Sus scrofa: one gene and its partners. The protein of the gene in region 2 interacts with the protein of the main gene of each other region in a pairwise test. Links are inferred from orthologs where the notes say so. Each region holds a gene or a part of one and is shown on either strand. Other genes may lie near its edges. The genes, in order: DOLK, EDA, EMP3, CYB561, LEPROTL1, PLN and MAL.

Region 1 (4,216 bases), on a different chromosome or scaffold from region 2:
CCATGAAACCAAGGGAGCAGGGTCACTCTGTTTCCACGTGCACCCCACGTAACCCTTTGGTTTGCCTGTTTTTTGAGATGAGAACTGGCTTTGGGTAACAATGACAACTTTCCTCACTTACGTAACACCTTGACACTTATGTGTGGGCCCTGGGCTGGACATGTGTCATCTCACGACACCGCATGAGGTGCAGGCTCTTCTTAATCCCATCTGGCAAACAGGAGAATTGAGGCCCAGAGTGATAAAGCCACACACACAGTTAAGAAGTGGTGCAGCCAAGGATGCTGACCAGCAGTTTGACTCCAGAAACCTGAAGTGTTGACCACCCTGCTGTACTGGTCCCCTCCAGCCCCCTGAGGACTTAGGGGAGGGAAGCCCTAAGACACACAAGCTCTTTGAACTTTTGCATTATCCTTTAAGCTTTTTTAAAATATTTTTTTGGCCATGCCCCGCAGCACACGGAAGCTCCCAGGCCACGGACTGAACTAGCACCTGCGCCACAGCAGTGACATTGCCAGATCCTTGACCCACTGAGCCACCAAGGATCGCCTTTTTTTTTTTTTTTTTTTTTCCTCTTTAAGGCCAAACCTGAGGCCTATGGAGGTTTCCAGGCTAGGGGTTGAATCGGAGTTGCAGCAGCCAGCCACAGCCACAGCCACAGCAATGCTGGACCTGAGCCTCATCTGCAACCTACACCACAGCTCACAGACATGCTGGATCCCTAACCCACTGAGTGAGGCCAGGGATCAAACCTGCATCCTCATGGATACTAGTCAGCTTCGTTACCGCTAAGCCACATCGGGAACTGCCTTTTTTTTTGCTTTTTAAGTATCAGCAAAACTAAAATCAGGAGTGCTTTGATTTTTATTTGAAATCTGAATCGACTGAAAAATTAAATCTGTATCTCACCCCTGGGCTCTTCCCGCCCAAGGGGCTGGCAGCTGTGAGGACCATTCATCTTCCCCATGTCCCTGTCTCCTCCATGGCTGCTGTGCAGCAGCTACGCCATCAGCAGTATCAGGAGGTAGAGAGGCAAAAGCAGATTGTCTATCTGCGTAGTGTATGCTTCTAAGAGGGACACGGTGCTGATGGAGCCCAGAATCCAAGCATAGCTGTAGTTTAGGTCTACTCCACTGTCAAAGATTAAGATCAGAGCTACAGAAATGATCTGGGCAAATATAGATGTCATGGTCCCCTCAAAAGTCTTTTTGGTTCCGGGCCAGCGGATCTCCCCCATGGTGCTGCCGAATATGGAGGCCACGGTGTCACCCACACCGACGGCTAGGACGCCGGCATAGGGGACTAGGGCCCTCGCTCCCCCGAGGCTACCCTTCTGTGTGCAGGGCCTGGGGACTAGCCAAATGGGAAGAGACATGCCTAGCAGCAGATAGATGTGGGTCAGGATGAGCGGTCCACTGTCTCGTTCATCCAGGAATAGGGACAGGAGGCTCCGAAGCGTGTGGCCCAGGGGCTTGATGCGGAAGTAGCGCACGTACTCCAGGAAGATGAAGACCGCCAGACACACGGTGGCGGCCACGTAGAGCAGTGGCCGGTCAAAGATGATACCTGGGATGTAGGTGGCTACCACAATGAAGTGGAAATACTTCCGAGCAATGGTGGGGGCCTGGTGCTTCTTGGACTCAGAAGATGACCGCTTGGCATTCTGGTATAGCACCACCAGGCAGGCCAAGGTGGCCAGCAGAGACCAGTAGGCCAGGAGGTAGACTCGGGTCTCCGTCTGGAAGAGGAACTGAAAAAGCCAGAGCAGGGGATTCCTGCGGATGAGCCGGTGAAGCCAGGGCAGGACCACGCCAAGGCCCAGCACACAGGTCATGAGGTGGAAGAAGATGGAGGAGGCCCAGGTGCCTGAATCCATGAAAACAAAGAGGGTGCTGAAGAAGATGCCCATGAGCACCATCCCTACCACCACCACCAGCAGGAAGAAGTCCAAGGGGTCTCCCTGGCTTTCCACCACAGTCAGAGACCGCTTAATGAGCTGGTTGAGCATGAAGCTGATGCCACCCAATACCAGCAGAGCCTCTCCAGGGGTGAAGCAGCGGGGCAACAGGTACAGCAGGATCATGTTGAGGTAGACGAAGATCAGCAGGACCTCCAGGACCTCTATCACCTCGCCTACACTCAGAGAGTGCTTCATGATATAAATGATGACACCTCCAGCCAAGCCCGAGATGACACAGGTGTTGGTGGGCACCGGGCGAGTGATGCCCAGAGCCAATACTGACGAGAAGAGGGCCACTGCCATGCCAGTGGCCGCCACCACAATTCCAAAGCGCTCAAAGTATGGGTTCCCCGCAGCCTGGCAGCGCTCCTTCATAACCAGTCCGAGCAAAGGCATGACCACCGAAGCGGGCAGGAGGCCACTGTTTGCGGACATTCGGAACTGGAAGACCGCGCTTCCCTGCTGTAGCAGTCGGTCCCACTTGTATTGGACGTAGAAGGCCTGCACGGCGAGGGCCACGGCGCACCACGAGTACCGATCCCACACTGCTGCGTGGATGCTCAGTACCACTATGAACACCACCGCTGCCTCTGCCAGCACGGACCCGCTCAGCGGAGCCCCGGACCCAGAGGCCGGAGGAGCGCACTCTCGGGTCATGTCTCTAGATCTGGGACCCCGGGGAAACCCGGGTGACTGGAGATGCCTTGGATTCTGGGCTCCTCAATCCTCGCCAGGCACAGAGCGGTAGCTTCACCCAGCCAGCACGTTCTCTATCCGCTCTCCTGCTGCCAGAAGGGAAGCGCCACTGAATGATCACTCTGTGCAGGCAAGGAGCTGGCGTCAGGTCACGCTCCAACGTCTCCCACCTCAAGCGTAGGTGTCGCTCCTCCACCGACTCCCTCACTGACTCGACCGCCCTCGCCCGGGAGTCCTCACCGCTCCGGGCCACGCCATGTTGGCCCCGCCCGCCGTCACGTGACGAAAAGCCCCGTCCACGCCCCGGAGGCGAGCGGTCACGTGGGCGCGGCGTCTGGGGGCGGGGCTAGGGCGCGCGCGCGCGAAGATGGCGGCGGCCGCCACCGGGCCGTGTGTGAGGTGCGGAGCGGGCCGAGTCAGCGGGGGTGGCTGTTAGGCGCCGGGTCGAATCCGAGCCGGAAGCGGGGCGGGATTTGAGGGCACGATGTAGCGGCAGTGGCGGGGCGAAGGCCGGCTAGGCGGACGGGCGCCGGGATGGAGGCGGTTACGGCCAAACGGTCTCGGCGCGCGGGCATCTGAAGCGACTTCTCGGAGAGGGGGCCGGTGCCTTACCCCTTCCCTCGGCGCCCGCCTCCGGTCTCCGGTTCCTTTCCCTTCTTCCCCTCTCCCCGTGGCGCGTCCCTCGGCGCCCCCCTCCCGCTTCCTGGCTGGCGTGACGCTCCCTCGAGGCGCGACGGGGCGCTTCGCGGTCGCCCGGGGAGCCCCCACCCCGTCCCCGCCGCAGCCTCCTGGGCCCTTCCCGGCGGCGCTCCCCAGGGTCCCGCATGTGCTCTCCATGGAAGGTCTGTTTCGGGCGTCGCCGAGCCACGTTCCTGCAGTTTCTGCCCTCTTGGGCCGCCCAGCCTTTCATTCATCCATCTATTCATTTTCTCCTGTATTGATTCCGTCAGCGGACACCCCACGCACTGTACTGGGCTTTGGGGACGGGAAGATAAAATACTCAAAAGAAAGAGACAGTTCTTACTTCTGGAGCGATACCAGCGCCGGGCTGGCGAGGCGCGTTCTTTTCCATGGCTTTATCTCCTTGAACTCCCACGACTCCGAGCGGCACCTTGTGTTTTACGGATAGATGACTCATAGACCCAACTCAGAACTGGCGGAGGGGTCCGGTGAGGCTTCGAACAGGCGTGTGTCTGCCTCTGGATCTGTAACCAGATCGCCACACTTCCATCTTCCACTTACAGCTCGAAGCGGCTTCCATTCTCGCGGCCACCCTCCCGGCTAACCGTCCCCTTGTCACTTCTTCCCTGTGCCTGCAGTGTTTCGCTACTTTTTTTGGCTTTTCACTACTACTCAACACTCCGAAGAGCATGGAATAGGCTCTGAGTAAATATTTATGACAAGTATTGCCCTTGTTCTCTGTACGACTTCCTGCGCCTCTCTGCTCAAGTGACTTTTTTTTTTTTTTTTCCATTGTGATGATACTTTTTAATCATGTAAAGTTTCAAGTGAGATTTCTCTTCTCTGGAATTTCCATCGAACTATTTCTGGAGCAGTTTG
Region 2 (3,868 bases):
AGCACTTAGAGGTTCTGGGAGTTCCAGTTCCCAAACCTGGGGTAAGGGCAAGGGCAGGGGCCAGAGAGGGGGCTGGGTAGGGATCTAGGATGCAGGGGCCTCGCCCAGCCTGATGGCCCCAAAGAAGGTGGTGTGCTTGCTCATGTTGATGGAGATGTCGGCGTGGACCATTTTAACGGCGATCTTTTGCCGCGCTTTGAGGAGGCAGACCCCTGCGGTGTAGCAAGTGTTGTAGTTGGTCTTGCCCGTCTCGATGCTGCGGGTGCACTGCAGGAAGGGCTTCTCATCCACCACTACCTCATAGCTGGCGAAGTCAGTGAAGTTGATATAGTATACCTGGGCGAGAGGCAATGAGATGGGATTGGGGGCCAGCAGAAGGACAGGGCAGGGCCCCCTTCCCCCCTCCCCTGTGACCAACAGAGCGGACCTGCTCATGTGAGCTGCTAGTGCACCTTGAGAAGGGGGCAGTGAGACCCCAAGGCGTACTACTCAGCCAAAGGGACGGGGGAGGCGACAGGCTTATTCACCGTCCTTTGTCCCCACTCCTTGGAGCCCAGGTGGCTGAGCTAACCTTTCTTCCAACAGCACACTGGTGGGAGACTCTGCGAGGGCCAGAATCACACCTTGTTCGCCCCTTAACCTCCCCCAGCCCTCAAACCTCCCCCCCACGCCCCGCCTCCTCAGCCCTGGCGTGAAGCACAGTTCTCCGCACACATTAGATGCTCATCAGTCTACAGACACAAAAACAAATTAACTTCCAATTTCAAGCCCTACAGACTATGTGTGGAAAAACTCAGAAGTTACCACTTGCCCAGAGAGGGCACAGGGACAACTTGCTGGTTCTTTAGCTGGTTCTTCAGCCCTTTCAGCATGCAGCCCCGCTCCCCATAGGCTGAATGTCTCTCACTGATGCTCCTGATGCCCCTTGGCCCTCTCGTCTGATGATTGAGGAAACTGATCCAGAGAGATGGAGAGCTCTCCTTCACAAATGAGATAACGAACATGGAAGGGCAAAAGCCAGGTCCCTAACTTTACTTTGTGGCTGGAAGGAAGTGCTAAGCTCCATTCAATGGCATGGTGTTCAGCCGATTTTCCCACTCTGCATGGGGTCCAAGGCCTGAGGCCACTCGTAATTCTATCTCAGGCCCCCCAAGTTGATTTTTCTCTCCCTTACTACCCTTCTCCATCACACCCCACCCCAATCTTTGACCCCCTGCCCCCACCGAGATGGTACTTAGCCTGAATGGTCCCTAGGACTTTGGGATTACACCCCTGGGGATTGAGACACTCATCTGTCACCCTAAATCACTTTATGAAAGGCTGCGCCCTCCCGGAGTTGTTTAGGAAGTGGCAGTGTATTCGGGTGCCATACAACTTCTTGGGTCAGGACCGCCGGCTGCGCCAGGACACTGGGTGGCCTCAGCAAATGCTGAGAACCCATCTTCTCCAGCCACTCTCCTGGAGACCCTTGTGCTGACTCCGCTGTCCTTCTGTCCATCCACCTGCCTGCCACCCGCCCCACAGAAGCCCCAACCTCAAGGCTCATCCACCTGTACCTCTGAGGAGCTACCCCACTGGAGGCAAACAGCAGGGGTGGAAGTGGATGGGCACTGGGCGAGCTGGGGAGTGAGCCTGGGGCCAGGACAAGGACAAAAACAGAGGGAGAAAAGGGCTGGGAGAACGACAGCAGGAGGGAGGCAAGAATGACAGAGAAGCAGAAAGGTAGAGAAACAAATGGGAGAAAGAGGGAGGAAAGATACACCTTTTTGAGGTGGAGAGAAGGTTCAGAGGAGCACTATTCATTTTAAGCCAGTGATGTGGTGGGGGAGGGGGTTTTAGCAGCCCTGGAACTGACTTGCACAGAATATATTGAGACAGCGTTCAAGTTTGGCAGTAGAGCCAGATAGCATAGCAGGGAAACTAGGGCCTGGGGCCCTGTAGGAGGGAATCAGATGGCAGAGGGGGTGGAGGGGGCCTCCTTTCAGTTTTTCAATAATATCTGGCTAGAAAAAACCCCAGATGGCCCCCTCTCTCTTCCCTCTTTTCAACTCCCTCCCAAGGTCTGTCCCCCTGCCCCCACCCCCAAAGCAGGAAGTTAGCCATTGGCTGATCTTGGCTGGCTCCACAGTGCCCCTCTGTGGTCTGCACCGGATCTGCATTCTGGATATAAGAAGAGTTAGGCCTGAGACCGTACTCACTTCTACCTGACTATAGATGAAGTAGGTGCCGTCCACCAGTACCTCCAGCTCCCCGCTGCGGGGATGTAGCTTAAACACCTTGGGGTTCATGGTGATGCGAGACCAGTCATTGAGCACTCCACCTGAAAGATCTCAGTGTGAGAGAAGGGCAGTCACTCAGTACATGTCAGAATCATCTGGGTAATAGAAAAAAGAAATATCAAACAGTACACAACCTCCACCCCTACCTCAGTGCAACCTGGACAGCCCAGCTTTAAGAAGAGCAATTGGAAGCAGAGAAAATGTTCTGTTTGTAAAGTGGCAAGTAGTGGCCAGGTCTGCCTCGGGCCCCTGGGGTCTGCCTGTCTGTCCTCCTCTCTCCTTTCCTGATTCCCTCCTTCTGTAAGATCTTTAACCAATACCTTCTAGCTGGAATTGGGAGGAGAGTAAGAAGAGGGTGGGCAAGCTGCCCTATTTTCTTTGTTGTTTGGAGGCCTGCACAGGCAAAATCCAGACACTGAGGGGCAGGCTAGGTCTTATTATTCATTTCATTTCACCAGCCATAGCTCCTGGATCCCTCTCCTGTTCATGTTCATAGGTTTTCTCCTTGTCCTTCAGAGATTCCTTTTTATAGTTCCTCCATACCCACTCCTTTTTGGAGCCTCCCTGGGCCCCCAGGAAACCACTCAGCCCAAGGAGTTGTCTACCCAGAGAACTCTAGGGATCAGGGGTGAGTCAGATGTCATGGCAGCCATATCTAGTGATCACCAGGAGTAAGGCCCCATAGGGGAGAAGGATCTTAATGAGAGTGAGACATAGACTGCCACAAAACACTAGAGGCAGCAAAGGGGACAGTGAGGGTGTCTGGGTACCGAGGCACCCCTGCAAAGCATCTGTCCTTCAGTAATAGCCCATTTGGGGTGAAGGAGCAGTCAGTCCATCTTTGCTAGACTGTAGAAGCCAGTGCGTGAGGGTGAGGAAAAGCTTTCCTTTCTATCCTGCAGCAAGGGGCATGTTCTTTCCCATCACAAGAGGAGGGAGTCCAAGCCCATGCAGCCTTTTCCCCTCAAAATCATCCATTTTTGGAGTTCCCGTAGTGGCTCAGTGGAAACGAATCTGACTAGCCTCCATGAGAACACAGGTTTGATCCCTTACCTTGATCAGTGGGTTAGGGATCTGGTGTTGCTGTGGCTGTGGCGCAGGCCGGCAGCTGTAGCTCCAATTCGACCCCTAGCCTGGGAACCTCCATATGCCACAGGTGCAGCCCCAAAAATCAAAACCAACCAACCAACCAACCAACCAAAACCCTATCCATTCTTCATCCAAGAAAATATACATTTTGTTTTTATTTTTGGCCACACCCACAGCATATGGAAGTTCCTGGGTCAGGGGCTGAATCCGAGCCACAGATGCAGGCTGGTTCTTTAACCTACTGTGCTGGCCCAGGGATGGAACCCGCATCACCACTGAGACAACGCCAGATCCTTAACCTGCTGCACCACAGTGGGAACTCCCGAGAAAATATGTTTCAAAAGTCCATCTTTGGCTGGTCTCAGGAGGCCTGCCTTTTTGAGGTATGAGGAAATGGGCCTTCTGGATGAGGTGCCCCGCTTTCCTTTCAGTGATAAGTGGATGGGATAGGAGTTTGGAGGACACGCCCTGGCTCTGCTCCTCATGGAGGACGGCTCTGC
Region 3 (4,446 bases), on a different chromosome or scaffold from region 2:
AAGCCCTAAATGCTAGTTCCCCCCATGACTCAGAGACACACATCACAAACTCCACTGAAAACTACAACTCCCCTAAGTCCCTGGGGCAGAGAGGTAGCCAAGGTGGTCCTTGGGTGGTTGAGAATTGTTTTCTTTCATCAGATGTTCATTCTTAGCCTGACCCCCTCTCACCCCACCACCCCTCATCCTCACCGGCCTCCTCCCTTCCCTTTGATTCCAAGGGAACTGTGCTTACTGGTGCAGAGCTGGCAGAGGCCAGTGGCATAGAAGAGCCCTCCTCGCCGCATGGTGTACAGTTGGAACATGAACAGGATGAAGGACAGACAGCAGAGGATGAGGGAAAGTACCATGAGGACCTGCACTGCCTTCAGCCAGCCTGCAAGAAACAGATAGAGGTGGAGGTCACAGCAGATCCAGAGTTCCAGTTTCACCAGCTTGTTCATCATTGCCTCCTTCCAACCCTTCTTCCACTTAGAACCATACAACGTTAGACACTTAGTAGTATCACTTATAGCAACCTGATTCTTGTAACTTCCCTGAATTCCCTTATCAGTTCTAGAATCCATTTGCAGATTCTTTGGGGGGGGCACACCCTCATTCGAAGTTCCAGGGTCCAGGGATGGAACCTATGCCACAGCTGTGACCCAAGCCACAGCTGTGACAACACAGGATCCTTAATCTGCTGTGCCACCAGAGAGCTCCTGTTTGCAGATGCTTTCGGATTTTGTGTATAAACGTGTTGAATGGGAAGAGAGACATTTTTCTTTTTTCCTTTTCCATCTTTATGCCTTTTATTTCCTTTTCTTGCCTTGTTGCATTGTCTACCTTCAGCCCAAGACTGTATAGAAGTGGTGAGAGCAGAAATTCTTACTCTGCTCTTAGGGGAAACGCATTTGACTTTTCATTTTCCTTGACTTAGAAATTTGGATGGCTGCTGCTCCACCCCTGCAGAACTCAGATGCATCTGGCCCCTCTTCTTTCGAACTTGGAAGGATTCAGCCTCACCTTTTTAGAACCTTAATGTGGTTCTAAACCACAACTTGGAATTTGGACAAATCGATTCGGGCCATCCCTCCAGAACACTTGTCATGTCTCCTTAAGAACTTTGGAAACATAATCTCAGACTCTTGGGAGCTTTCCCCCCATTCCTTAACCCACGTGGCCTCCATCCCTTGTGAATCATAGAGAGCAGGGCTTTTAGCCCATGCTCTTTAGGACATGAGAATATTTCCCCCGACCATCCAGATAGGTGAGGCATCATACATCAGCAGCCTCAGTCACTCAGCATGGGGACCCAGACACTCACTCAAACTTTGGGGGTTCCCAATCCTTTATTCTGGGAGGAGACTTGGGGTGACCCCTCCCTTTGGCAGACTGGTTTGCCATGCCCCTCGCCCCTCACCATTCTCGCTGACATTACTGCAGGCCCACGTTTTGTTGTCACTGTTCCACGTACAGTCGTACCAGAGATTCAGGGACTCCTTCCCGGGGAGGGTCCACCAGGACTGGGATGGACAGAGGAACAAGGGCAACATTAGGGAGACTGGGAAGGGTTAGGAAAAGGGCAAGGTGCCCGGGGAGCCGAACTGGGAAAGCATGGATTTAGTAGGAAAGGGGAGGGGGCGTGTCAGGGGAGAGGGTAGGGCGGAGCCAGCGCTCAGAAGGGGTAGCGCTAGAGAAAGGGGGCGGGGCCAGAGTGACTTTAGGGGAGGGGCGTGGCGGCTGGAGTCTGCGGGAGAGCCCGAGGGCCCCCGCTATTCCCAGGTGGGCTTACCTTGTCCAAAGTGGCTATGAAAAGCAGGATGAGAATGAGGATGTGAAGGGCAGAGACCACCAGCAGGAGGAGTGACATGGCTGAGTTGGAAGTCTGGGGTGGGGACGTCAGGAGATAGTGACTTCAAGAGGTCGGCACAGGGGCAGCTGAGATGCCTGAAGCCTGGTAGAGAAGGGGGCTGAGTTCAGACTCCACGGTCTAATGGGAAAAGGAGGCTACAGGCCTCGATTCCTGGTCTGAGGGAGGAAGAGACTATAGTGCAGACTCTTGGGTCTAAGGGAGGAGGGGACTGGGGACCGGAACTCTTGAATTCCCCAGAGGCTGGAGGGGGTCAGGGATGGACTCTCGGGTCTGGGAAGGAGCAGGACTGCCAATGTGGCCCCCATGTCGTCCGAGCCCTGTCCCTGGGCACAGGATATGACAATTCGTTTTGCCACCCTTTCAGATTCATCGCAAGCCCAGGGCTGCCCCCAGAGACAGGCATCCTTGACTCACCCCACTCCTCTCCAGGGGTTGGGGGGAGGACGGGGGACCCGGTGAGTCATCCGATGACTCATCTCCCCCCACCCCAAGCACCAGGGAAACCCCAGCCCCTGGCTAGGCCCACGAGGTCCCCACCCCACCCTGTCGCCAGACCAGTGTCTGCTGGACACCTTGTAGGAAAATGGACAAGATCTGTATTGGGAGTGGGGAGAGAGGCTGGAGAAGAAGCAGCCAGCCTCCCATGACCCTTCAGAGTCCAGAAAGGGCGGTGGGGATTGGAGGGTCCTTAGACTTTGGTTATGCTCACGAAAAGCCTTGACCTCAGGGTCTTTGTGGGGGGCGGGGGGAGGGGGAGTGTTCAGTCATAGGAAAAAAAATTGCAGGAGGTTTTGGGGGGCTGTTCCGCTGGGAACCCTCAAACCTTGGCGGGCCCCACCCCTACCCAAGGCTCCACTCTTAAGTGCTAAGAGATCACTTCTTAAATTACAAGGATTTCCAGGAGGACTGAGCGGGGGCCCGGGGCGGGGTGGGGGGGTTGTCTCTCTCAGGCTGGGGGTCTCCTTTCTAAACTTCTGCACACCCAAGGAAAGAAAGGAATCTCCGTCGGAATAACGGATCGGAAACTTACCGAGAGCGGCGGAAAAAGTCAGAGTCGGCGTCTGGTCCCTCGTTCGGGCCTCCGCGCCCCGCCCTTCTCCTCCCTCCTTCCACCCTCGCGGGGCCCCCGCCTCCCTCGCCGCCTTCCCCCTCCCTCGCTCGCTCTCCCCTCTGGCTCTCGCCCTCTCCGTCTCCCCTCCAATCCTAGAACCCTTTCTCTTTCTCCCTCCCTCGCTCTGTCCCGTCCGCACTGTCTATGGAGCTCCTTCTCCTCTCTCTCCGGATTTCTCCTTCTCTCTCCTCTCAATATATATACTGACCCTTTTATACCAGCCTCACCGCGCCCAGCTGAGGTCTGCAGCCAGAGGGAGGGCCCAGGCATTCGGGTTCCTCATTCTCCGGGCCCCCACCCACTGCCCCCAGACAGGCATCTTCTGGGGCTCCCTCCCGCGGTTGAGATGAGACATCTTTGGAGGGAAGGGAACAGAGCTGGGGCCCTTGGGTGGGGCCAGCATCGGGGGTGGGAGGGTCCGATTCGCAGGCCTCTTGCTCTGGGACCGCTGTCGTCTTTCCTTGATGGGGCTTGGGACTGGGCACTCAGAGGGGGGGGAGGCTGGAGGAGGAGCCACATTCCTGCAGCGTGGAGAGGGCTGAGGGCTGGTGGGCTGGGCACCATGGTGGGGATCAGGGGATGGGAAACAGAGAAGTGTGCAACTCTGGAGCGGCGGCAGGAGGTGGAAATTAACAATCCCAAGTGCTACCACTTCCTACCTGGAGAACCGACCAATTATTTCAACTCTGAGCCTTAGTTTCTGAATCAAGGAGGTGGATCCAATACTACCAATAATACGATAATACACTAACACTGATAATAACAATTCTGATACCTATTCTCATTTTTTTTTTTTTTTTTTTTTTTTTGCTATTTCTTGGGCCGCTCCCGCGGCATATGGAGGTTCCCAGGCTAGGGGTCGAATCGGAGCTGTAGCCACCAGCCTACATCAGAGCCACAGCAACGCAGGATCCGAGCCGCGTCTGCAACCTACACCACAGCTCACGGCAACGCCGGATCGTTAACCCACTGAGCGAGGGCAGGGACCGAACCTGCAACCTCATGGTTCCTAGTCGGATTCGTTAACCACTGCGCCACGACGGGAACTCCATCATTTTTTTTTTTTTTTTTTTTTTTTTTTTTAGGGCTGCACCTGCAGCATAGAGAAGTTCCCAGGCCAGGGGTTGAATCAGATCTGCAGCCGCTGGCCTACACCACAGCCACCCTGTGGGATCCAAGCCACATCTGCAGCTTCTGGCAATGCTGGATCCTTAACCCACTGATCGAGGCCAGGGATCAAGCCCGCATCCTCATGGATACTAGTCGGGTTCTTAACCCACTGAGCCACAGAGGGGACTCCCCTCATATTTACTCTAAACGAACAAGGTAATACCAGTACACGAACACACCTAACACTTTTATTTCTCTCTTCATCAAACATTTATTGAACATCTATTATGAACCAAGAGTTAATAATGAAGAAAACAGATGCGAGCCCTGCAGCTTACCTTCTTGGTGAGGGAGAGAGACAATAAAGGGG
Region 4 (4,427 bases), on a different chromosome or scaffold from region 2:
AACAAAACTTATGTTTGTGGAGGATTTAAGCTCTGTCACTCTGAGGGGGTGGGCCCAGCTGGGTTTGCCCCATCTGGAGCTGTGCCCAGGCTAGTGGGCACCCTGGTGTCTTGCCATGCCCTTAAGAGTCTGTTCTCTCTGTAAGGGGGTATTGGTTCCCCAAGGCCCACCCTGGCCAGGGCTTTCTGGGAGCCATCAGCCAGGCTCATGGGAAGCACGCAGCCCTAGGGGAGGGGGAGGAGCGTGGGGGTGGAGGAGGGGTGTCCTTTTGCTGAGGCTCATTTATGTTTGGGGGGGGAGAGAAAGCCCCCTTTCCTTACTTCTGCCAGGCCCTTGGTGAGTCTTGCCAGGCATCCGACAGGAAAGAACCTTTTGTTCTGAGCTTGTACGAGGTCTGAGCTGGACTTGTTATCTACCCACAGCATTTCCTGGATAGGAGGCTTGGACTGGGCTGCTGTAGGGGCTGGCCCCCAGCCTGGCCTTGGCCCCTTCCTCTCTTAGTGGGTGGGGCTGGGGAGGCTACCGATGGATGGCAAGGTCTAGGCCTTCAGGAAAGGATGGTGAGAACTGGTATTTATCCTTAGGCTGTGGGGGATAGGGTGGGAGGGGGAGCAGTGAGTCAGGAAAAGGTCCCAGGCTTGGGAAAAGCGGGCAAAACGTCACCTAATGTGTGCGTGGGGGCGCTGCGGAACTGGGGAAGGGCTGAGTCGGGCCTCCCTGCACAATGACACCTCTTCCCTCCTGGCTGCGAGGCTAAGGGCTCCTCCGGGGCTGCAGGACCCGCAAGAGCGCGGGCCAAGGCCCAGGCCGCGCCTGACACCTAGCGGCCACCTGAGCGCGGGGCGGAGTGGGGCGGGGCAGGGAGAGGAGAGGGAAGAAGCTGGGAGGGAGAGGAGGGAGACTGGAAGCGCTGAGGCCAGGCCGCATCCCCCTCCCGCGGCCCTGGGTCCCGCCCCCGCCCCGCCCTGCTCGGGAGAAGCCGGGCCTAGGCTAGGAAGCTCCCTACACCCACGGAGACGCAGACCCCATATGCCCCCGAACGTGGCGCGACCCCGAAGCCAGGTCGCGAGGCCAGGATTCGAAGGCTACACGAGCTCCGGTCTGCAGGTCGCGACACAGTTGCCAAGGTTCTCGCGCCGTGGCCCGTACCACGCGGGCGGCAGGGCTTGAGTTTGGCGTCTGGCGGGGCCGCCCCCTGACCGGGGACTAGGGGGTGCCGGGCCGGGTCCCATGTGCGCGGACCCGCAGGGGCACTTCCGGTCCCCGCCCCGCCTGCCGCGCAGCGAGCCCGGCGGCCAACCCTCCGCTCGGTTTCCATGGCGACGCGGTAGCGCGGAGGGCGGCGCGGCTCGCGGAACCGGTAGAGCAGCCCTGGCTCAGAGCTGGGAGCTCGCCGCCCAGTTGGTGGCGCGGCGCTGATCGGCGGGGACGAGGTTTGGGCCCGGCGACCGGCCAGGTAGGCGGCCTGCGAGGGTAAATGCGAGCCGAGACCCCGCGCTGAGTCGGGACGGGGTCCGGGTATGTGTGGGGGGGGGGGGGGGACGGCGGGCTCAGGTGTGCCCTGCCTCGGGAGGGACCGCGCCCGCGCAGTGACGGGCCAGGATCCTGACGCCGCAGCCAGTTTTTCTCCTCCCCTCTCCGGCCGCCACACCTGCTCACCTCACCTGCTTCCCCGGCTCGGGGGCCGCGGAGCAAGGCCTGAGGTTAAAGAGCGCGTCCCGCTCCCTCCTGGAGCTGTCAGCCGTCCGCCCCGGGTCTGCCTGTGTGCGGAGTCTCTGCCCAAGTCACAACAGCACCATGTGACTCCAAGTTTATGTATGGACCCTCCGCTACCTAGAAACTAGGTAGCGTAGACGTGAATCAACCAACGTTTGCTACGACTGTTCCTTTGAAACCTGAAACTGCGCTGCTTCGCTATAGTGGCAGGGCCTCCCTCCTCTGCCCCTTTCCTCGTGGGGTAGGGAGTTTAGCCAGTAGATCCCTTCCTTGTTCTCCAACACCCCCAGCTTCTTAATGTGAGAGGAGTTTCTCATTTCAGAAATCCTTACTCCTTGGTAGGCTCTTGAACGCTGGGTGCAGGGGGTGCAGAACTGAGCTGAGGAAGCCATCTGCTGCTGCCTTTGACTCCTGGGTAATGGCAGGGCCACCTCCCCTCTCTGCCTGCCCTTCCCCCAGGGCACCGCACAGAGGAGGATCCATGTAAACTCTGGAGTCCCACACAGGTCTTTAAAGGCTGGCACCCTTCCCAAGTCTTTTTTCCCTTCTGGTTGCCCCTCTCTTCTCTCATTCTACCTAGACTGTCTGAGGATTTTCTAAAACTCATTAAATGAAGCTCCATCTGGATTCTCTTCCTTCATTTTCATAGCAAATGAAAAACAAAACAACCCACAAAACTTTGCTACGGTCTCACAGATATTTTGATTTCTCTTGTGAAACTGGACTGAGGCAGAAAATAGGCAACTTGTAAATGCCAAGGGGAGCCCAATGCAGAGAAAGGGCTCCCGCCCCACCCCCACAGGAGGAGCCTCCTGGACCTGAGTGACTGCTTTGCTTGGCCCACTGCTTCCCTGCCTGCGCCACCTGCCCTTGGCAAGCAGAGCTCGGGCGGCTTCTAACACCAGGTGGTCCAGCAGCACTAGAAGGCTTTGGAGGAGGAATTCACCCTGATCCAGGGGTTTCTGCTCAGTGCGGGGATTCACAGTAGACAGAAGGGGGGTTATGGATTTATTAGAGGGGGTCATTGTGCTATCTGCTGCCATCTGGCTCTCTGTGGTCCCAAACCTCATGTCAACAGCTTCTGATGTGTGACTTTTCCTAAGGTACTCTTAGGACAAGATTTAGTTTTTGTTAGACTGCTATGTAATTGAGCGTGAACTGTGTGGCAAGCACTGTGCCAGGCACTGGTATATGTTTATCCTGCTTAATCTTTGCTACAGGCCAGTAAAGTGGATCTCAACATCCTCCTACCTTGTGGAAGAGGCTCAGAGAGGGCACTTGGCTCACCTGGGTGAACACAGTCATGAACAGTGGGGCTGGCTTTGAAATCACATCCATCTGATCAGGGCTGCATTGTGACTTTCCCCTTCCTTCATAAAAAAAAAAAAAAAAAAAAAAAAAAAAGAATATTTTACAACTGCACTGATATAAAGACAAATACAATCCAGGCTGGATTAAAAATTAAAATATCTTCTTTAACCCAAGAAGCTTGTTTTTTCTTATGATTTTAACAAAAATCAAGGCATTTTTGGGGGGAGCCCTGGACCCAGCAGAGAAGTGAGCGTAGTGTCTGACTTGAAGCTTTGCTTTCTTCCTGGGGGTTGCTTGGGTGTGGGTGATAAGAAAGTGCCCCACCTAACAGCTCAGCCCTCATTTTGCCCTTTCTTTCATCATATTCAAGGACAGTCTAGGATAATTAGTTGTTCCCCCCTTTACCCATCAAAAAAACATCTTAACCCCCAACACAATCTTTTCTAACTCAATTAAAACCCTGCTGTGGATAAGGAGGGCTGTGGCCAGCCCAGGCTCCCTGCTTCCAGGCTGTGGGACGTGTTTGGTGTCTGGTCCCCATAATAAGATTAGGCCCAGTGGCCTTTCAATGAAACTCTGTGGGCACAGGGAGGGAGAGGGATGCTTGGCGCGTCCAAGCCCTACGGCAGCTCATGGCCCTGTCTGATTGCATTAAAGGGAATCTGACTGCAGGTGTGTGTGGGAGCAGAGGAGTGACTGTCACACAGCCTAAAGTTCCAGAGGCTGCTAAAGATCTGACATCCCCATCCTGTGCTCTGACAGGAAGGAGGGTGGCCGGGTAGGGATATACATGAGCCCCTTCTCTAGCTTCCTCCCGTGGCTGGCATATCTTAGGGGCTCCATAAGCAACTGAGTTGAGCAGTTCTTTGCTGTGGATGATTTTGGGCAAGTCATTTATCCTCTTTGAGTCCCACTTTTCTCATTGGGCAAACTGGGGTAAGGCTCCTGCTATCACAGGTTACTGCAAAGACTCAAGAGAGAAGTGCGGCAGTGCTGAGTACAGAGGGGGCTCACAGCTGTGAGGAGCTGTGCTCTCCAGTCCTGCCACCGTGGGAGTGCAAACAGCACTGGGGTTCAGACTCCCAAGGGAATTGAGGATGTGAGTTTTCAGTACAGGACACTAAAGCCTCATGTTGAGTCATCACGCTGTTCTGCTGTGTTTTGTTCTCAATGCCACCGAGGGAATCTCCATGTCTCGTCTCAGCAGATGCTGCTGGTGTCCCACAATTTAACTTAGTTCTGACACTGTCTTCCTGGAGACAGCGCCAGATCCCACAGGTTAAGGGCTCAGTCCCGCAAGACTGCTCTCCACCCCCATCAGATGCCAACTGCAAGCCCAGGTTGTCACCCGTGCCACTGACCAACAGGCTATAGATCAGAGCTTCTCACAACCCCCTCCT
Region 5 (3,868 bases), on a different chromosome or scaffold from region 2:
GTGTCTGAAGCTGCTATGCAGCTGAATTTGGCTATTCTGCATTAATTCACACAATCAAGGCCATTTATAAAAGGAAACAGCAGATCTATGAGGGTGAAAGTAAAAATCAACACAGCTGAGAGGTATACAAGAAACATGTCTTAAATTTTTTAAAATTACATTACGATATAACCTTAGGGAATAAGAAGTACAATGACATGGTCTAAATCTTGAGCTATTAATACATGAATGACATGTTAATCACGTGAAGGCCTTGAAGGCAGGGGTACTCTGAATGTATGGTGTAGCAATCACCTTCCAGGTGCATTAAGCATCTCTAATTTAACGTGTTATTAAATCATACTGGAAAAGTTATTTTACTCAATATATACAATGTATAAAATAAGTTAAAAAGAGGAAGCAGGGAAAGACTTTCTATGTAGGATGCAAACATACAACTTTGCCACGTCAGTAGTAGTCCCATGTGTCCCTTTACTCACATAAGACATTAAAGGCTGAAAGAAGATAAAAATTTCACTTATAAATAGAAACAGGATTCAAAAAACAGAATTCCAATGCTGTTTCTTCCCACAATGCAACTCACTCTACTTTAACTATAATAAACATAAATAAAAACCATATCTCAAACATCTGTTTTCACACCCTACCTTTAACAATAAATTCTTCTAACAATTGAGAATAAAAGCACTCCTCTGTAGCAATTCTGTAAAATAATTTTCAATTCACAAAACACCTGCTTTCTGGCAAAACCAGCAACCCTTATGGAGGGCACTGCATTAATATTTGGCCCCTGTGAGGTATCAATGCAGCTATATTTGCACTGAGAAAAGAGTCTATAAGGTATGCTAATGGTCTGCATGTTTACATAAAATTGGGAGTGATGTCAACCTGACTGATTGAAAAAATATTATTTTTATAACTTTGTGTAGGCATGGAAGTTAAATAATTTTAAGGAAAAAATAAACAACTTTAACCCAGTAACAGCCAGCAGAACTCTAATTCCCAACCAATGCAAATGTGGTTATTACATTTAAATAATGTTTAACATTGTATATTGATTAAACAAAAACTGAACAGGGAAAACACATAAATATTTAAATTCAGCAGGACACCACAGAAAGCATACTAGAGATAAGTGTGAAATCAGTCAAGCTTTTCCAAAAGAGAAAATCCTTTTAATCCTTCAGCAAGTCTCTGAAAATAGTATGCTTACAATGCAAGTGAGCCGGGAGCACCTGAAATGCCCCCGGGAGGCCTGCTGCACTGCTCAGCATCACCGCCCCATCTCCCGTGTGCACTGTCGGCTGAGAAATGACAGGAAGTCCCTGTGACAATAGTTCAGTAACTCCTTTCACCACTGCTGCCAGCTGAAGTCATCGTTGCTTCCAAAGACCAAGAAAAAACCCAGGATAGTTGCAAAGATGACTGTGTTTCCTGTGAGGACAAGTGCACAAGCTCCCCACTCAATCTGTGGACATTAGACAGAAATGCTCAGTTAATAGACAGGAAAAACAACAAGAAATGAAGAGCGAATCAAGGCTCTAGCTGTATTCCAATCATGATCCAAAACAAATGGGACTTGTAGTGATAACTCTGACACTGCAGAACACTTAATGGTACTTCTACATTGCTGTTCTTGTCTAGCTCCAGTTCCTTTAAAGAGACAGAGAGTCATGAAAGATGAATAATTATTCAAAAGCAAGCTTGCTTCCGGCCTATGAGGAGGCAGTGTAGAACTCCACAATTTTCTGTTTACAGATCAATCTGTTCCAACTCTTCCTTAGTGAATCTAAAAATTTTTATCTAGAGAGCAGATTCAATTTAAAGTATCAGAGATGCAGACACACTTGGGGACATTCTTTTAAAGAGGCAGGGGAGTAATTGCCCTCTTCAGGTGCAAGGGTGCCAAGCCTGTCCTCTCTGCAGTCTCTATCTCCCCAGAGGCGGAGGAGTGAATCTGCCTGGGGAGTCCGGGAGGCCCCTTCTACTCTCCCACCTGCAGAAAACACAAGATCTCCAGCCTTCCATGTTTTAAGCTGCACAGGGCAGCCCTGTGGGATGTCTGGCACTGGTTGAGATCGAAGTATTGGCAAGCCAACTCTTGCTGCTAATGCTCCCCAATATTTTCATCAGTTAACAACAAGAGTAAGATTTTAGCTCTTATTCTCTAGGCTCCTATGTCCCTGGTCTCTTTTTCATGTCATTTAACAAAAACCTTTTTTTCTGAGAGAAACTCGACCCAGTCTGATGTAAAATCCTGTGTAGAAAAATGCTTTCACTTACCAGGTGTGCTCTGGCAAATACAATAGGGAGTCCAAAAGCTGAGACCACAATGCCTGTTGTAAGAAATATGGCAAGTTCCTTACAGGCATTACTCATAGCGTCTGTATCATCCACTAATCTTCTTGCTATGCAGTATGGAATAGGTGAAAGGATATAAAAAAACAGAACAAAGAGGGGCCAGTATTGGCTAAAAAAAGAAAAATAAATTAATGTAAGTTTTTGCTATCTTTGTCATTTTCCTACATACTGCAAGGTATAAAATATGACATAGGGAGTTTCCTCATGGTGCAGCAGGTTAAGGAACTGGCATTGTCACTACAATGGTTTGGCACAGGTTTGACCCCTGGCCCTGGAACTTTCACATGCCATGGGCACAGCCAGAAAAAAGAAAAGAAAGAAAAGCTATAATCCGAGCACTGAAAAGAGAAACAATTAGAGTCATAGTATTTTTAAAATTAATTATGATACAATGAGTAAATATTCCTTAAATTATAAGAAAATGCTTTATGAACTGTAACAGTTGGAATCAAAACCCAGAGTAAAAAGGAATTTTTTCATTTTGGGTTATAAGTAAAAAGGCATATGAAAAGTGGGATTATTAATTCAGTAGTTTTTTTTTTTTTTTTGTCTTTTTTTGCTATTTCTTTGGGCCGCTCCCGCGGCATATGGAGGTTCCCAGGCTAGGGGTCGAATCGGAGCTGTAGCCCCGGCCTACGCCAGAGCCACAGCAACGCAGGATCCGAGCCGCGTCTGCAACCTACACCACAGCTCACGGCAACGCCGGATCGTTAACCCACTGAGCAAGGGCAGGGACCGCAACCTCATGGTTCCTAGTCGAATTCGTTAACCACTGCGCCACGACGGGAACTCCTAATTCAGTAGTTTTTAAAATTCAAGATTCATGCCCTTGACTTCTAATATCTTGCCTTAGTCTGAAACTGGAATATCCCCCAAACTTTTCTTAGGTCACTTAGGAACTCCCAAAATACTGAAATCAAAATATAGAAAAAAGGAATTCCCATCGTGACTCAGTAGTTAACTAGGAATCTGACTAGGAACCAGGAGGTTTGCTCATCAGGTTAAGGATCTGGCACTGCTATGAGATGTGGTGTGGGTCGCAGTTCTGATTTGACCCTTAGTGTGGGAACTCGCATATGCTGCAGACGTGGCCCTAAAAGACAAAAAAAAGAAAAAAGAAAAAGAAAGAGAGAGAGATAGCTTTTAAAACTGCCATAAAATAAAATAAACATCATAATGGAGATTTACTTGCACTTAGGGCTCATGATAAGCAAGATTTATCTTTCTTTTTTTTCTAAAAATCTTTTCCTAAATATTTTAAGAATAAAAAATGGAAAGAAGGGGAAAAGCATACCAAAAATACAAAGGCACAAAAAGTGAAAAATCAAGGTTGCCTGTGCCTTGCCTGCTTTCTCCTTCCTACTCTCCTACTGATGTGGATCTTTCCGTATTTCCACATAGATAAACTGTAAAAATGTGAATGAATCACTGCACTTTTTCATTTAACAATATATCCTGTTCCACATATTAGCAAACACAGCTCTTCTTCATTCAGCTTTTGGCATGC
Region 6 (4,344 bases), on a different chromosome or scaffold from region 2:
TTCTAGAAATGTTCAGAGAGACTACATATCTGATTTAGGTCACTGCAGTTTGGAAGCATCACTTCCTTGATTTCTAACCTTTAGGTTTCCTCCTTTGCTGGTATGATCACCACTGTGTTAATTCACAGTTTAGATGAAAGTTAGTGTTTTTCATAACGTAAATAAAGGAGTATTTCTCTCTTCAAGCCCCTTTAAACAAATGAGGTTGAATATTTTAAATGGTAGAATGTGAAGAGGTCAGAAATAAAATTGAGGAAAGCTAAAGTTTTAACATGAAATTGGAATAAAATATAGAACTGTGGTATTTATGAAAAGTTTTGAGGGGAAATTAACCTGTCTTTTAGGTATCAAAGCTAAGTAGATTAAAGGCATGAGTATTTTAGCAATGTAAAAGGAAACTTTGATTTGATTGTACATGCTACTGTTTTTTGAAATCTGTGCAATTATTTTGAGTTTTGTCTTCAAGGATATACTGCATAGTAACTGAGGACATCTCTAACTTCCTTATATCCCTGGCTCTGAAAATGGCCAGGAGGATATTATATAGGCTATTAAAGACATAATGCCTCATGCAAAAATTAACTTTAAATGAAGTGGTTTTAAATTAAAATGGAAGTTTGTGTCATCTAACTTTGCCTTTTAGAGCACCATTAACAGTATTTGAGGACTTTGAATTTATTTTGTTTTGCCAGTGTCAGGAGTTATTTGTTGATCAGTGGATGGGATATGCTTGTGGTTTAGAGTCATAAAATCTTGGCTTCTGCCAAGGCTCCACCATTTCCTAGCTCTGTGACCTTGGGCAGTTCACCTTTTTGCATCTGTTTCCTAAACTGTGAGAAAGAAATGGAATGTCAAACAAATAGGGAATTGAGAGGATCAAATGAGATATTTTATATGGCGCATTTAGAAAATTCTTCAAGAATAAAGGAGGAGGTTTTAATTGACCCTCTTTATTTCTAGGATTGGTAATAAGCAGTTTAATTTAGGTAATCCTTTACATTTAATTTTTTACTTAAAACTTTTATATATTAAACAATTTGTTACATAAGTAATATTTTTATTTAATACATTAATATTTTAATTCTTTTTGGGGGGACTGTTTCATTTATGCAAAGTCTTCTCTCTCTAATTAATTAGTGAGATTTAAGAAACAATATCAATGTATAACCAAATGTAATTTTTTCTGGAGTATTATTTTCCTTAATGTCCACTGAAATATCGTTAAAGTAATTTTGGTATTTGAGTTTTAGGAAATGATAGTGGCACGACCTCTCTTGGTAAAGCAAAGTACTCTTTCATGTGTTTTTTAAACTTAATTAATTATTCATAATTAAAAAATCTTTCACATTTCTTCCATTTTATTTCATCAGATGCTTTTTTTAAAGCACTTAGTTTTAACCACATGAAACAAGACATTACTTAAATTTCACCTTATGATGGAGATAAACTAGTTGGGACATAATGTCTGGCACTAGGGAATTATGTTTGAAATTTGGATTAATAGTCACTGTACATAATTTTTGTTAATCTGGACACACTGTCTATCTAAGGATAATTTTAATAGCAGAATTTCTGCTCTTTCTGGAAATTACCACATTTGTGGCGTGGTATGCAATGTGAAATTCTGGTACTGTAAAAGAACTCATGAACATTTTAAGTGTGAGAATGTGTGTAATTTGATAGGCATTTAAGTAAAAATGCATAAAAACTGCATATAAAACACCCACACTGAGTGACTTTGTAATATCCAAGGAAAAATATTTAATGAAAATAAAGATATTGATAGGCAGTTAGGGTGCTTCAGTGGGAGACAAAAATTGGAAATGTCTTTGCGTGCCTCAAGGAAAGCTGTTTAAGGAATTAAAAAGTTCTTATCTATAAAAAGCAGTAGAATTAACATTTGTCATTCGAACTTAAAATTCCAGAGGTAATTTTATTTTGACATTTATGTAAAGATAAAAATAATGAAAATCATAATATCCTTTATGCCCTGACTGAAATCTTAGAATGAAGACACATTTTATACATTAAATTGAGGGTTGTAACATCAAGAGTAGAGTAGAATTTAAACAGAAGTTACAAAATTTATGGTGGTATCTCCCTTCTTGGGCATTTTTCATCCTCTCCTGTCCACCCTCTAAGTACAAGAGAGGAAACTGAGAAACACTGGAGGATAGTACCTTGATAAAAGTATATTCATTAATAGGCAGAGTAAAGATCCATTTTTATCAAATTCACTCAAATGAGATAGGAATATTTGTACTGCCAAAATAATGTTTTTTTATTTTTAAAATAAATTAATATTCTGTAACTTCATAAAGAATTTTACATGTTTCTGACAAGTATTTTGAAATGCCCAAACTTATCATTTATGATAGAATATTAAATTTAATAGAAATAACACAATTTATTAAAAGCTTGGATTTTTTTGTAGAAGTTGACTGGACTTTATAGAAAGGAAAAAAAGTCTTCAAAAGCATTTTAAAACTAGTTTGTGCTATTTATTCTTAAACTCCACTTTATTAATATTCACTGTAAGGAATCATAATGATAATATCAGAATACTCATGCCAATAATGTGCATTTTATACAGTCACACCATTGTTCATAGTATCTAGATGTAAACAGACAGCCCAGCCCTACCCTTCTCCTTAGCAGAGTAACATAACAAAATGAAAACATTGTTTTTGTATGGAGAAATCAAATCACCTCTACCACCAAACATGGTAACATAGTTGAAAGATACTTTAATTGGCAGAAATTCACCTTTGAACAGCGGAAATAAAAGTGAAAGTTAAATTAAAATGACAAACCATTAACCAGGATCAAAGATGAATACAGTCTTATTGTTACTATTACTTGAATGGACAAGCATTTATTTAGAAATTAAGCTTTACGTCAGCCAGACATTATCAAACTTCCTACTGAAATTTACCAAGTACGATTAACTCTTTTTAAAAAGTTCTCTAAGTTTGAATTATAGAAAGTAAGAGTTGCCATAATCAGTAAAATCTGTTTCTTACCTTGGCTGTTTATGATGATCACAGTATAGAATATTGTGAGTTGTATGAAGTCTTATCGGTGTTTAGCTGGAAAGTTTTCTGACTCTGTTACCAGAGTTATGGGAACAATTGAAGTAGGTGGAGGGGGAAAAGGGTTATAGGGAGGTCTTATGATGTCACCCAGGAATTCTGAAGTTATGATTGGTTAGCCATAGTCTTATCACAGCCAAACTTTTTAGAATGTCATTTATCTTAACATTAGTTATAGAAAGGTCATTAATACTTTGTGCTTCTTTTTTTTTTTTTCTTTTTTTTAACTTTTAAAATATATGGGAGGTAAATTGAAAAGTTCAGGGTGAATAGAAAGTTCAGAGTGATAGCTGTTTTGTAAAAGTTCATGCATCTTCAGGCTTAGAAATAATTGTAAACTGAGGGTGATAATGTTGAAGAATTAAAGTAATATGAGTTTTAATAGATTGAGAGTAATAATACTGGCTTAAGCCAGACAACTTTGATTGAGTTGTTGCTGTTGCTTTAACACTGCAGCTTCAGAATGTTAGCTTCTAGCAAGATAATAATTAAACATTGTTACAGAATCAAATTTTACACCTTTTCCTGACTGACTGTGTTCTTTTTTCATACCTATGTGTGTATGGGAGAGAGAGTGTGTGTGAGAAAACAAGGATAAGAAGACTGATTTTGGTTTAAAAAAAAATTAGCTTTACCTTACAGTTAAAGTAAGAATAAATATATTTAATTCATTTGTGTTTTCTTCATTTAGAACAATATATTTACTGTAATTCTCATGTTTAAACTGATAGATATTACCCTGGAAAATTCGCTGTTTACAAATTTAAGTACTTAGGATTTTTTAACAGCTGCCTTAAGTTACCGTAAAATCTTACTAAAATTTTAGTAAGCTGACACAGTATCAGGAGTAACTTTGCAGCAGAAAAGAAATAATCACAAATCCCTAATCAGTGGCATCCTAGTTAATGACACTTTATTAACGACAGGTGTGCGTGTGTTTGGAAATTTAAGTAGTGTTTCTAAAAGGGTATGCTCATTTAATGCAGTAATTGTTTTCCTGAAAATTACTATGTAAATTAAATTTTAGTAAATGGAATGATATTTCAAACTTCCGAGAACAGAAAAGTATTCCTTTGAAAAGCCAGGCATCATTTTCCTGTTTTTTTCTAATTTTTTTGTTTATATTTTAGATTTACTTAAATCACCACATCTCAGAATTCTAATTCTTTAAATCTTGCCCATAATTCTGGACAAGCTAATTGTTATTTTTAATTTGTTTTATACTTAACGGCAGAGTGAACTCAGCCTGCTT
Region 7 (4,616 bases), on a different chromosome or scaffold from region 2:
GCTTAAATTTCATCTGAAAAGCTCTATTAACGCTGAAAGTAAATAAGGTAAAATATTAATTTGACAAAGATAATTACATAGGTGCCTTTTAAAGTATTATATGTACTTTTCTGTCCTATTTGAAATCGTTCTTAATTTTTAAAAAATTGAAGTGAAATTGGCACAACAGAAACCTAACCATTTTAAATTGTCCAGTTCAGGAGTTCCCATCATGACTCAGTGGGAAGGAATCTGACTAGTATCCATGAGGATGCAGGTTCTATCCCTGGCCTCGCTCAGTGGGTTAAGAATCTGGTGTTGCCATGAGCTGTGGTGGGCGTCGCAGACATGGTTATGATCTAGCATTGCTGTGGCTGTGGTGTAGGCCAGCGACTGCAACTCCGATTAGACCCCTAGCCTGGGAACCTCCATGTGCCACAGGTACGACCCTAAAAAAGACAAAACAAAAACAAAACCTGTCCACTTCAGTGGCATTTAATACATTCATGATGTTGTGCAACCACCACCTCTAAGTCCAACACATTTTTCTTGCCCCAAAAAGAAACCACATACCCATTAAGCTGACCCCCATTTCCCTTTCCTATCAGTCCCTGTCAAACCACCAGTTTGTGTTCTATCTCTATAGATTTACCTAATCTGGACATTTCGTATAAATGGAATCATACGCTGTGTGACCTTTTGTTTCTGGCTTCTTGTTTTCAGGTTTATCAGCCTTGTGGAATGTATTGGTGCTTCATTCCTTTCTACAGCTGAATAGTATTCCATTGCATGGACTATCACAATTTGTTTATCCAATCACCTGCAAATGGGACATTTGGGCTGATTCCACCTGTTGCTTATTCTGAATCGTGCTGCTGTGGACATGCATATTTTTGTTCCATTCAGGTCAAGGCCAGAGGAGGAGGGTGCACAAGACTTGCATGAACCCAGTTAACTCTCTCATGATTCTTGTTATAATGCTCCGGCTACAATGGCGGAGTAAATAACTCATTAGGGTGATTTAGTTATTAGGAAGTCCTTTTGTTTAAAAATCTCTCTGCTCCATCTCACGTCACCTTTAGCCCTCATCACTTAAAGTCACCAAATTCTGCATTTATAAATACAATAACCTCAAAAGAAGCCACTTACTACTTAGAATACCTGTTCATTTTCAGGCTAAGGGTTGACTAGAAGTGCAGAGATGAGCCATTTGGGGAAGGAATGTACCAGTGGATGCAAGCCCCTTCCACTCTGGACCTAGGTAGCCCTATCTGTAAATGGCACAGGCTGAGCTTAGAGGTGTTCACCTCCTGGATTCTGGCTAATTCCAGGATTTGAAGTCACTCTGGATACATCCAGCTTTGGCTCAAGTTCAGTGATATGGTGCCACCAGGCAACCTTGATCCCCTCAACCCTTTCACCCATCCCTCAATGGGTGATAGAACTCCCCTTGCTGTTCACACCCTCCCTCGCCAATCAGGGGAGGAGAAGCTGGGGTCCCATTTTCCAACAGTTGGGTTTGCACATTTTCTTTTGCAACCGACTCTCCAAGGCAGCCATTCCGCTGTGCGCCTGTAGGGAAAGGAGTCTCTGGCACCGCACCCACGGAAGAAACACATCTGCTCCGTCTCAGCGGAGGGCCTAGGGCCCCGCGAAGTTGAGGCGGAGGCGGCCTGAGGCCTATGACAGGGAGCGCTTTCTGCAGCCTGCGAGGGGGGTCTGTGAGGCTCCGGTGTAAGGAGGGACCAGCTGCAGGCGCAGCGGTCTCTGGGCTCACCGCCCAAGGTCAGCCAGGGAAGGTGAGGGCTCGCCCAGGTCCGGCTCCCTTCCCCCACCCCTCACGCAGGGAGGCAGCAGGACCGTGGCCTCTTGTGTTATTTCCAGATCAAAGTTGTTGCAAGTTTGTTGACTCGCCAGAAACGTTTGAGAAAGCGAATAATCCGGATTCAGCTCCTCCTATGACCCCAACTCTATCTCCACACCTCGCTTGGTAATCCTCAGGTTTCTTTTGCTGACTTTTAAAATTAAAAAAAACAAAAAACAAACAAAAAACAAAAACATCTTAACCGTGGAGGGAGCTGGACTCCTCCACGGGAATGTCGCTCTCCTATAAGGGGAAACGTCCCGAGCACAGCTTTGGAACCGGCTCACAGTGGACCGCGGCGGGTTTCCGACATCTGATCCTTCTTGTGAACTTGGTTTTTCACCTAAGCCCTGGAGACTATTTCCCCATTGTCGCTGGCTGGAAGAGGCTAAAGTACTGCGGGGTGGGCCCGGGGAAGACACCTTCCTTGCCTGAGCCCCTCTACCCGATGCTCCGGGGACCGGAGACCGCGCGGCTGGCGGATGGGCCGGCGCGCTGTGCGGAGCCCGGGTGAGAGCGAGCGGCTCGGACCGTCCCATCCCGCCCTCCCCGGTTGGGCGCGGGGCCCGCCAGCCACTCACAAACTCGAAGATGAAGAGCAGGTCCGGGAAGGTGATGAAGACCGCGAAACCGCTAGGCAGGCTGCTGCCGCCCGACACAGCTGAGGGGGCCATGCTCGCGGGCTGGGCGTCGGCCTCGCAACGGGACGCGCGCGGCTCTGGCTCTGCGCTGACCGCTCGCTTGCTCGGCGGAGCCCAGTGGCCAGGGAGCCACCGCGCGCGGATTAAGAGCAGCCGCGCCTGGGACGAAGAGGGAGGAGCCCTGGCCGCCGCCACGGGGCTGCAGCCATCCGAGAACGTGGGGCGCGCCCCAGGGGACCTGCCCAGCGCCATAGACACAACTCTGAATCACACCAAGGTTGGGACGGGAGTTTGACTTCAGAGTCCCAGGTCTGGGCACCACCGCCACCGGAGGAGGACAAAGCCGCTTAGATGAGGCCCTTTGCAGGTGATCACTCTTTGCAGGTGATCACCACTTCTTAAGAATGATCTCCAACAGCAACTAGGCCCCCAAACCCACTCCGTGGCATCGCTCAGGTCACCATTGCTTCAACTATTCTTAAATTGTGGCTTTTTCGTCTTTCTTCTGGCTCACAGTGGGACGAGTTCCCCGCCCTCCAGGGGCAGTCTGGGACCACTCCAGCCGCCCAACACTTGTCCCTGCGCCCCAGAGAGCCCAGCGCCTGAAGGCCACACCCTGGGTCTCCACCACTCCTCCTGGAGCTGCCCGGTGGTGGCTTAATGGCAGCCACAGCTGTCTTGAACCTTGAAGGGCTGAGGAGAGCCAGCATTGCTGAAGGCTTATGGAGTGCCCAGCGCCACCAAAAGGCTCTTTGCCCACACGATCTCATTTAATCCCACAGAGCCTTTCTGGTAAGTTTTACCCAGACATACAGGTTTAGAGTGAGGAAGGAACACACCCAGGCCATCTGGAGAGGAGCCGGGCCCTTTGACTCTAGAAGGCAGACTGTCTCCACTGCCTCCGTGCCTCCTGCCTAAAATCCACACACTTGAAACCTAGAGGTGGGGGGTGGTTGCTCACCAGAGAGCTGTGCCCTGGTGGGCCAAGGGGGCACCTGTGCCCTGCTGCCTCCAGGGACAGTGAGCCACTGCTTGTGACCTTTTTTGCTTGTTCCCAACCTCTTCTAGGTTCCCGTTTCCTGGGTTGGGGAGACTTGGCCCTTCACCACTGCCTGAGAAAGCCATCCCCAAGCATTGTCAGGGTGATGCAGGGACGGGGACACAGAGGGCGGGTATTTGAGTGGGGAAGACAGAGTCCCTGCTCCCTAGGTGAGTTCCATCCAAAAGGGACATCACACTCAGAGTCAGTGGACACCTGGGCTAGGCCTGCACTGGGTACTCCTCCCCAACCCTAGAGGCCAAACCGTAGAGGCCAGTCCTTCTACATCCAGGTTGGTGTGGGGACAGGCTCCCATTTCTGAGCAGCTCTTGGGTGCACTGAAGAGGTAACAGTACACATGATAGAGGCCCCTGCCCTCAGTCCCCCCATCAGTACCATTTCATAAAGTGCCAGGCCACAGGGATAACACAGGAGCAGAGGAGACTTGATCCCTGCCTTTTTGGATTTTTTTTTGTTGAAGTATGGTTGATATGCAATGTTATATAAGTTACAGGTGTACTATATAGAGATTTGCAGTTTTAAAGTTTATACTCCATTTATAGCGATTATATTTTGTTTTGTTTTTTGTTTATATTTATTTTATTTTAATTACTCAAATGAATTTATCACATCTGTAGTTGTGTAATGATCATAACAATCCAATTTCACAGGATTTCCATCCCACAACCCCAGCACATCCCCCCACCCCCTAAACTGTCTCCTCTGGAGACCATAAGTTTTTCAATGTTGTTCTGCAAAGGTGTTCAGTCTGTCCTTTTTTCAGATTCCACATGTCAGTGAAAGCATTTGATGTTGGTGTTTCATTGTATGACTGACTTCACTTAGCATGATAATTTCTAGGTCCATCCATGTTGTTAAAAATGCCGGTATTTCATTCCTTTTAATGGCTGGGTAATATTCCATTGTGTATATGTACCACATCTTCTTGATCCACTCCTCTGTCGATGGACATTTAGGTTGTTTCCATGTCTTGGCTATTGCAAACAGTACTGCAATGAACATCAGAGTACATGTGTCTTTGTGAGTCGTGGTTTTCTCTGGATAGATGCCCAGGAGTGGGATTGCTGGATCA

Evidence for each region.
Region 1: the proteins of EDA (region 2) and DOLK interact in binary tests that used the Homo sapiens proteins (3 or more experiments, as listed by UniProt). The two-hybrid records come from large-scale screens. The link is inferred for Sus scrofa from reciprocal best matches to the Homo sapiens genes EDA and DOLK.
Region 3: the proteins of EDA (region 2) and EMP3 interact in binary tests that used the Homo sapiens proteins (3 or more experiments, as listed by UniProt). The two-hybrid records come from large-scale screens. The link is inferred for Sus scrofa from reciprocal best matches to the Homo sapiens genes EDA and EMP3.
Region 4: the proteins of EDA (region 2) and CYB561 interact in binary tests that used the Homo sapiens proteins (3 or more experiments, as listed by UniProt). The two-hybrid records come from large-scale screens. The link is inferred for Sus scrofa from reciprocal best matches to the Homo sapiens genes EDA and CYB561.
Region 5: the proteins of EDA (region 2) and LEPROTL1 interact in binary tests that used the Homo sapiens proteins (3 or more experiments, as listed by UniProt). The two-hybrid records come from large-scale screens. The link is inferred for Sus scrofa from reciprocal best matches to the Homo sapiens genes EDA and LEPROTL1.
Region 6: the proteins of EDA (region 2) and PLN interact in binary tests that used the Homo sapiens proteins (3 or more experiments, as listed by UniProt). The link is inferred for Sus scrofa from reciprocal best matches to the Homo sapiens genes EDA and PLN.
Region 7: the proteins of EDA (region 2) and MAL interact in binary tests that used the Homo sapiens proteins (3 or more experiments, as listed by UniProt). The two-hybrid records come from large-scale screens. The link is inferred for Sus scrofa from reciprocal best matches to the Homo sapiens genes EDA and MAL.

Annotation. Positions count from the first base shown.
Region 1 is NC_010443.5:269,256,540-269,260,755, forward strand, and holds DOLK (dolichol kinase), read right to left. Parts: upstream 2,946-4,216; 5' UTR 2,618-2,945; coding exon 1,001-2,617; 3' UTR 847-1,000; downstream 1-846. Other genes in the region: nucleoporin NUP188 homolog, read left to right, coding at 3,024-3,055. UniProt on the Homo sapiens protein: Catalyzes CTP-mediated phosphorylation of dolichol, the terminal step in de novo dolichyl monophosphate (Dol-P) biosynthesis. Dol-P is a lipid carrier essential for the synthesis of N-linked and O-linked oligosaccharides and for GPI anchors.
Region 2 is NC_010461.5:56,095,806-56,099,673, reverse strand, and holds part of EDA (ectodysplasin-A), read right to left. Parts: intron 2,330-3,868; coding exon 2,199-2,329; intron 337-2,198; coding exon 85-336; 3' UTR 1-84. UniProt on the Homo sapiens protein: Cytokine which is involved in epithelial-mesenchymal signaling during morphogenesis of ectodermal organs. Functions as a ligand activating the DEATH-domain containing receptors EDAR and EDA2R. May also play a role in cell adhesion.
Region 3 is NC_010448.4:53,756,482-53,760,927, reverse strand, and holds the start of EMP3 (epithelial membrane protein 3), read right to left. Parts: upstream 3,153-4,446; 5' UTR 2,886-3,152; intron 1,937-2,885; 5' UTR 1,853-1,936; coding exon 1,775-1,852; intron 1,506-1,774; coding exon 1,403-1,505; intron 377-1,402; coding exon 236-376; intron 1-235. UniProt on the Homo sapiens protein: Probably involved in cell proliferation and cell-cell interactions.
Region 4 is NC_010454.4:15,435,441-15,439,867, forward strand, and holds the start of CYB561 (cytochrome b561), read left to right. Parts: upstream 1-1,373; 5' UTR 1,374-1,456; intron 1,457-4,427. UniProt on the Homo sapiens protein: Transmembrane reductase that uses ascorbate as an electron donor in the cytoplasm and transfers electrons across membranes to reduce monodehydro-L-ascorbate radical in the lumen of secretory vesicles.
Region 5 is NC_010457.5:54,919,629-54,923,496, forward strand, and holds part of LEPROTL1 (leptin receptor overlapping transcript-like 1), read right to left. Parts: intron 2,471-3,868; coding exon 2,284-2,470; intron 1,469-2,283; coding exon 1,352-1,468; 3' UTR 1-1,351. UniProt on the Homo sapiens protein: Negatively regulates growth hormone (GH) receptor cell surface expression in liver. May play a role in liver resistance to GH during periods of reduced nutrient availability.
Region 6 is NC_010443.5:43,455,829-43,460,172, forward strand, and holds the start of PLN (cardiac phospholamban), read right to left. Parts: upstream 3,098-4,344; 5' UTR 3,024-3,097; intron 1-3,023. UniProt on the Homo sapiens protein: Reversibly inhibits the activity of ATP2A2/SERCA2 in cardiac sarcoplasmic reticulum by decreasing the apparent affinity of the ATPase for Ca(2+).
Region 7 is NC_010445.4:46,239,158-46,243,773, forward strand, and holds the start of MAL (myelin and lymphocyte protein), read right to left. Parts: upstream 3,111-4,616; 5' UTR 2,737-3,110; coding exon 2,425-2,736; intron 1-2,424. UniProt on the Homo sapiens protein: May be involved in vesicular trafficking from the Golgi apparatus to the cell membrane. Plays a role in the maintenance of the myelin sheath, and in axon-glia and glia-glia interactions.